Cricetulus griseus: one gene and its partner. The protein of the gene in region 2 interacts with the protein of the main gene of each other region in a pairwise test. Links are inferred from orthologs where the notes say so. Each region holds a gene or a part of one and is shown on either strand. Other genes may lie near its edges.

What was found.
Region 1: the proteins of Lsmem2 (region 2) and Lsmem1 interact in binary tests that used the Homo sapiens proteins (3 or more experiments, as listed by UniProt). The two-hybrid records come from large-scale screens. The link is inferred for Cricetulus griseus from reciprocal best matches to the Homo sapiens genes LSMEM2 and LSMEM1.

Annotation. Positions count from the first base shown.
Region 1 is NC_048598.1:161,480,799-161,484,840, forward strand, and holds the start of Lsmem1 (leucine-rich single-pass membrane protein 1), read left to right. Parts: upstream 1-1,228; 5' UTR 1,229-4,042. Other genes in the region: Ifrd1 (interferon-related developmental regulator 1), read left to right, coding at 49-144, 759-848.
Region 2 is NC_048597.1:215,774,678-215,778,246, reverse strand, and holds the end of Lsmem2 (leucine-rich single-pass membrane protein 2), read left to right. Parts: 5' UTR 1-1,550; coding exon 1,551-1,647; intron 1,648-1,717; coding exon 1,718-1,903; intron 1,904-2,057; coding exon 2,058-2,191; 3' UTR 2,192-3,057; downstream 3,058-3,569. Other genes in the region: Ifrd2 (interferon-related developmental regulator 2), read right to left, coding at 3,129-3,209, 3,332-3,427, 3,503-3,569.

The sequences.
Region 1 (4,042 bases), on a different chromosome or scaffold from region 2:
TGCAGTGAAATAGATTCCTGGATTTCACGTATATTCTATTTATTTTAGACAAATGAATTCCTTCGCAATGTATTTGAGCTTGGGCCCCCTGTGATGCTTGATGCTGCAACACTTAAGACCATGAAGATTTCTCGTTTTGAAAGGGTAGGTTTTTTGTTATTTTGTTTTTTTTTTTAAAGATTTATTTATTATGCTTGCAGTTTTTTGCTTGCATGTATGTCTGCAAGCCAGAAAAGGGCACCAGATCTTATAGATGGTTGAGAGCTACCATGTGGTTGCTGGGAATTGAACTCAGGACCTTTGGAACAGCAGTCAGTGCTCTTAACCTCTGAGCCATCTCTCCAGCCCTGTTTTTGTTTTTTAATAGAAGTAAATGCACAGCCACTCTGGTTTCTCTTCAGTTCTTTTGCTTTTGAAGAAAAATGGACCCAAAACACTTATTCTGCCTGGTTATGGGAACATTTGCATGTTTCTGTTGTACTGTAATAGCTTGGTAAGATCCAGGCTTATTTTACAGGAGCACATGTAAAGCATGAAATAGTTACTGGGAATCCTTTTTATCATTTCAAAAATTGTTACGTATAGTTTGGATTTTATTGAGGTGACATATGTAACAGAATTTTAATGTACTTTGTTATGACAAAGTACACCTGTTACCTGTCTGGTTCCTTTGTGATTTTATCTCTTCCCCCTAGTTTCTTTCTTTATAAGAGTATTATGCCTTCTTGATCTGTATATATTTTTCTTTTTCGTTTCAGCATTTATATAACTCTGCAGCTTTCAAAGCTCGAACAAAAGCTCGAAGCAAATGCCGAGATAAGAGAGCAGATGTTGGAGAATTCTTCTAGACGTCTGCATTTGATGGCTGTTTTCTAATTTCTTCCTTTATTATTATTTTTGCTACTTCTAATGTATATAAGCTTTTAGAGACAGTTTTTTATCTTGAGGTAAATTTAGATAATTTTTGATGTAGGGGTGGATTATATTTTAATTTAATGTACAGTGTTACAAATTAATGAATTCTGTTTATTAAATATCTCTGTAAAAATAATTGGAATCCACAAATAAAGTGTTTATGATGTTCTGTCTTATTCTGTGTAGTGAGCAGAAGATGGTATTTCATAATAAGAAAAATTAGCAGCCAAATGTTAACTTGTTTACACTGTGTTTGTCAGAAATACTGACATAATGATACATACATGCAGGGTATTTCATGTGACACATAGTTTTGGGGAACGCATTCCTTTAGAAAAGCTACTATTAAGTTTAAGTGGAATGCGTGCCAGTGGGCTCATCAAAGGGTGTTATTCCACGCTGCATTCAAGCCCTTGGGGATTCTCATTATAATTAGCTTATGCCAGAAAGGCTGCCAACCTTTGTCCCTAAGAGCCAAGAGCAGGACGTGCAGTGTGCTTTCCTCTTGGCAATAAAGGTCTTTTCCCACTAAAAGTGCTTCCTTCTTAATAGAAGAAACAGTTTATGACTGACAGAAGGAGTCAAGCCAGGCCACAGGGAATGAGACAGCTCTCTGTATTGGAAACAAAAGGAGATAAAGCTTTGAGTACTCAGACATGGAGATGAAGAAATGTAGCATTATACATAACCGGACTTATGTTAGCCAACTTCAAAGATTCTGCCTTATTGCCCCTACCTAGCATCTTGACTTAAGCGTTTTAAGTGCATAACCTGTGCTCCCATCTGTGCAATTGGGTACATGGACTTGTTTCCTTGCTGCTGAGGGTGGGGCTAGGAAGCATGTCACTTAAGGGGTTTCTTCCAGATTACTGTTCTGTGTCCTCAACAGACTGGAAGGTCTGATACTCCTCAGGGGAAATCTGGCTTGTGACTCAGTTCAACCCTCAGATACAGCACAGTGGGGAACACTGGAATCCAGAGCATGGTGGTGTGTGTTGTCACTTTCATTCCAAGTAGAGTCCTAGGAACCATTCTCAATAGGATTTCTTTCCCTACGTTTTCAGTTCTGTGCATGTGTATGTTTTATGTGTCCCCCATGTTTGTGTACATGTGTCATTCCTCACAGTCCTTACATCTTTTCCTGGAAACAGGGATCCTACCTCTACCTCTCCTCTACTGAGGCTGCCAGTTTGATTTGTGGACTCTGAGTATCCAAATCAAGACCTGCTTTCCAGACAAGCACTTTACTTGCAGTCCTGTATATGTGTTCCCCCCCCAGACAGGGAGGTTGTCCTGGATTTCACTATGTAGACCAGGCTGGCCTCGAACTCACAGAGATCCCCCTGCCTCTAGCCCTTCCGAGTGCTGGGATTAAAGGAGTGCACTACCATCACCCATTTTCTGTGTGTGTTTTAATGAGTTTTTACCACAGTAAAACATAGTTTACTTCAAGACTTATTATGAAGTCTTTTTCTCCCTGTAATCTGTCAGCTCCTTCTCGGGACCAGCTTAACCTTCAGTGGTGGTCTCCTTAGGACCTTAGTTTCATGATTCTCACATTTCTCTGATTGTACATTCATAGCAGTTTCTTGTTTATTGTCTTTAGGCATTGGTTGACTTAAAATAAGTGAAGAATTCTCAAATCAGCTTATTTTTGCCTTAAAGTGGTGTTTACTTGTCTCGGATTTTACACACAAACACCAGATGCTTGCCACCAGTTCTTCCTAACCAACTTGGTTCTTTATCAGATAGTCAGTGTAGGTTAGTGTCTCACTCAAGTGTACAGCTGTTTTTAAAACATCAAAATTATTTGGATTTGTTTCCAAGTCAGAGTCCACACTGATCTGTCTTCCCTGGTGACATTCATTCTTGGAGTTCTGTGCCTCCTGTAGTTTCTTATGAATGAATGCAGGAGGTCAGTTATTTTAAGGTCTCCTCTGAAAGCTAGTTTGATTTGTGAATTTCTGTGTAGAAGATCAAGTTCAGAATTAAACTTTGGACAATTCAATTTTGAAAGGTTTTTGTGTGAAATGTTGAGATTTGAAATGAGTTTTTTGTCTTTTGCACTTAAAATTGGCTACATGGTAGATAGCATGATTTAGAGGGCTGAGCAATCTAGAAGTTTTTCATTCTCTTCATTTTGTTGGAGCAACCAAAATGGCTTTGGGCCTTATTTTTCTAGTTTCTTCCTTGAGAGGCATTTCTTTAACACGTTCGGTCTTAACTCCATTTTGTCTGTTGCTCACATTAATTGACTTGCCTTGATTTAGTCCACGAGTACCTCTTAACATCCCAGCTGGCCGGTCTAATTCTGCAGTGGTAGAATCCTCCTGCAAATCCAGGCACCTCAGTCTCCTCCCAGAGTGTTCTCATTTATTGAATTGTATTTCTTTCTTTTTTCATCTTGTGGCTTTTATTCCTATGGTGTGTTTTTACTGGTGTTTACAAAGATGGAAACTTCCAGATCATTGAGTAATTTCTTACAAAGATTTCTGGGAACCTGATATGTAAAAATGAGTTGAAAGTAGCGAAGTGCTGTGTGGTTGGCCAGCCAACCACTGATTCTCCGCCAAATTGCTGTGGCTCAAGAATTAATTTTGAAGCAGTCAACAATGGCTGACTTGACTCTGTGATGGCATTTATTGGGTTTCCTGGGAATTGAATCTGAATACCACCAGGAACATTTCAAAGAAATAGCAAGGAATCTTTGAAAATGTCCTCAGAATAGACAGTTTACATGACAATATTTTCTCCTGATTCGAAATTCCTAAAGCAGTGTTTCAGATATTCAAGAAGCTGTCGTTTTCTAAGATTCTAACTAAAGACAGTCACCCTCTGGCAGTAGAGTTCCTAGGCTCTGTAGTTCCCATCTCACGGATTAATATTTGAGGATTAGAAAGTTAGACAAGGGGGAAACAGTGACCAAGAGATGGATCAGGTGCTGTTGCAAATGATAGGGGTTTGAGACAAATTGGGAAATTTGAGTTCAAATTTTGTTTTGAACCTGCAGGACAAGGTGATGGAACATCTTCATCTCTTCGAGCTTAATTTAAAATGTGACACTTGTGATAAAAGTTACCAATTATAGTCTTCTGGGTCTCAAAATGAGCATTCCTGTTCCCCAAAA
Region 2 (3,569 bases):
GGCGCTTTCTGGTTGCCAGCCACCCTTATCAAAAAACCCCAAACAACCTGATTTCCAGCCTCATGAGGAGACCCTGTGTCAAAGGAAAAAGGCAGAGGACACCCAAAGTCCTCCTCTGTTCTCTACACATATACACAGTGTCTAAATACACGTGGGTATGCACTACACACACACTGCTAACACATAACCACATGTAATACCACTAATGGGTAGGCTGAGGCAAGAGAATTTTGAGGTTAAGCCCATCCTAGTTTTAGGCTACACAGTGAGTTCCAGGCCAGCAAAGGTCACATAGTGAGACACTATCTCAAAACAAAACAAAATCTGAAATAAAGATAACCATAAGGAACGATAAAGAATCAGTGACTAAATGGGCAGAACCCATGAATGGGTAATTACACACATTAGTCAGGCTCCCTAGGCAACAATCAAGTTGTTTCTCGTCTCTCAGGCTAGCAAATATATGTAAAGGTCTGTGCATACAGCGTCTGGTTTAGCTCTGTAAAAAGCTTGCCTTGCAAGCATGAAGGACCCGAGCTTATTTCTCTGGGGCTCGTGATGTGCTTGAAGCTGCCCTTGACATGCTCACAAGCAAACATCAGATGCTGTCTGTTAGTCCCTATGTTTGGGAGGCGGACTGCAGGTTAAGTAGGGGTACACACACTTCTCATCCCAGGTCTGGTGAGGTGGAGACATTGAGTTCCTGGGGCTCTGTGGTTAAGTGAGCCTGTTGAGTTCCTGTGCCAGGTCACTGAGACCTCTGACTTCCGTGTGCACACAAATACATTTTTTTTTTTTACAGTGGGATGTCTAATGGTGGGGATGCTGTACTGCTGGGCTCCGAACAGGCCTTTTAGAAGACAGTTCTGATGATAGATTTAAAGTCTGTTCTCAGGCCCAGTGATTCCACTTCTGAGAATTGTCCTCAATAACTTCCAGCAAAGTGGAAAAACCTTCACATTTAATGATTGATGTCCTGGGGGTTAATTTCCAAAGGGAATTGGAAACAACCTAAATGCCCAGATAGCCTCAGAGGGAGGCCGGAAGGAGTCCTCAAAGTTATATGAAACTGTTAAGAAAAAAAGAGACTCCTGCGGTGCTGTTGAGTGAAAACAGCAGGGCTCCAGTAAGAGCGGCTGAATAATTGTGTGTAGGAAGGCAGAACCAAGCCAGGAGGAACTGCCAGAATGCAGTTGCCTTTGCCTAGCAGTAGGCACCATGTTGTAAGGTCAGGCCAGGTGGCAAACTCACTATTGCTGTGGGCTTAGGTTGATGAACTGTTTGCTAGCAATAAGCAGGCGGAGGAATGCCTGAATGTGAACATGGGAGCATGTCAAGAGCCCCTATGCACACAGACTAGGCCTTTAGAACTCTGGATCCAAACGAAGAGTCATTCCTGAAACTGTAAGGAATTTGTAACCAAATGCCACTGGTGTAGTTCCCATATATCCCAAGTTCCTTCCTGCAGCCTGGGCTTACCTACCCACAAGGTAAGGAGTGACTTGTTTGCTCAAATCAGTCCCACTGCCCCTATAGACACCGTGTTGCCAATGCAGAACCAGAGAAGCAGGGGAACACTGGCTCCTAACCATGTGCAGGAGGTGCATCTGCACCGAGTGGAATCCATCAGTGAGCTTCACAGCGGAGGTAAGGGTGCAAAGGATGTGGGGAAGGATGCTGTGGGTACCACCTTCCTGACGAACCACCCTCCCTGCAGGTTCGCTACAGCCCTATCTGGCTGAAGAGGCACAGACATGGGAAGAGCTTCTGGGTGTCCTGCCGCCATCACTGTGCACCCAAGCTGGCTGCAGCCCCATGTGTGGTCGTGGGGGGTTTCTACTGCTATTGGCACTGCTGGTATTCACCTGCCTGGCACTAGCCATCCTGGCTGTCTACCTAAGTGGTAGGGACAGGAAGGGAACCTAGGGCACCTGCAAATGCAGCAATAAAGGGTGGGGCCCGGGTCACTGGGCGGTTAACCCTTGGTGCTGGGCTGGCTGGAGATCCGAAATGGCATGCAGTCTAACAAGGTCCCACAAATGTCTTCCCATCCCCAGTGCTGCAGAGTGAATCCCTGAGGGTCTTGGCACACACACTGCGCACACAAGAGGAGACTCTGCTCAAATTGCGCCTGGCTAGCCTCAGCCAGCTAAGGAGACTCAACTCCACTGAAGCTCGGGCACCCAGCTGAGATGCCGTGTGAGGCGTGTGAGGGGATAAAGGGACCTTTGGCAGTCTCTGTTCTCCCGTCGACGGCTACACCTACACTACTTCCTTGGTGAGATTTTTGTACAAGAGCCTGATGTGACTCAACAGCTGCCTGTCTCTCTTGACCTCTTCAGGCTAGGCCTGACCAAGCCCTCTGGTGCCAAGGCCCTGCTTTGGATAGCCAAAGGTCAGAGGATGGGGCACCAGCCTCCTCGTGGCTCCTCCTATGGCCTGTCAGCACCCTCTGGCCACCCCCAGATAGGAGATTCAGAAGTCTAGAAATAGCTGTTCCTGCTCAGCCACCCACTCTGCCAGGTCTCCTAGTGGGGGGTCCAGTCTCAGCCCTCAAACAAGCTAGGCTGAGTTGGGGGTGGGGGACCACACTGGCAAAGACTGCCTTGGAGAACAAAGGTGAAATTGAGATCTAGCTGGGGCCAAGCCGAGGGTGGTAGATGAGAGGGAAGGCAAGTAAAAGACTCAGGATAAAAGTCATGGGGAATAAGTACTGTTTAATTCTCTCTTATTTTTAAAAATCAGCACACATCCATTCTAGGCAGCTTTGCCTACCCTATACCATGGTGGACAGGTGCCAGACCCCCCAAAGGAAGTGGCCCTAGGGGGCAAGATCTAAAAAAGAAAAGGGGTAGTCCTTTCTCACCTGCCCCTCAGCTCTGGGACCAGCTCGCATTTGGTTTCACCTGAGACAGGACAGAGGCCATAGCCACAGGGCTGAGTGCAGACACAAAGGGCCAGAGTCTTAAGTGTCCTGATCCCATGGCCCTCCCACATTTGTCTATTTTTGGTTTCATCATTAAAAAAAAAAAATAAAGTGACAATTGCTGGCGGGGACCAGTTCTTGCACTGTCTTCTGTTAAAAATATGGTAAGGGTATGAGTAGCCTTCTCATTGGCCAGTCAGCTTCACAAGACATCTGCCCGCTTGTCCCTCGCACGACTCCGGGCCTTGGTCCGAGCTTTGAAGGCGGCAGCATTGTACAGGTGCTGTGGAAGAGGCAAACCAGGGAGCCTGGTGAACTGGAAAGCTCAGGCTCCTCCCGGAGCCCACTCACAGCTCGAGGCCTCCAGGTTACAGGATGCAAGATAAAGGTGCCCAAGATGCAAACCTTTTCAAAACGTGAGATCTTGCAGGCCTTCAGGGTAGCGGCATCCAGCACCAGCACAGGGCCCAGGCCAAAGATGTCACGGAGAAGCTCGTTGTTCTGAAGATAAGACAATTAGCTAAGGGCAGTCTGAAGCAGTTAAGCTGGGTAGACCTCCGGGTAAGTCCCCCTCACCTGGAGGTGATAGTGCATGCCTGAGCCCAACACATCCTTGAAGGCTGTGTAGATGCGGTGGCGAGCC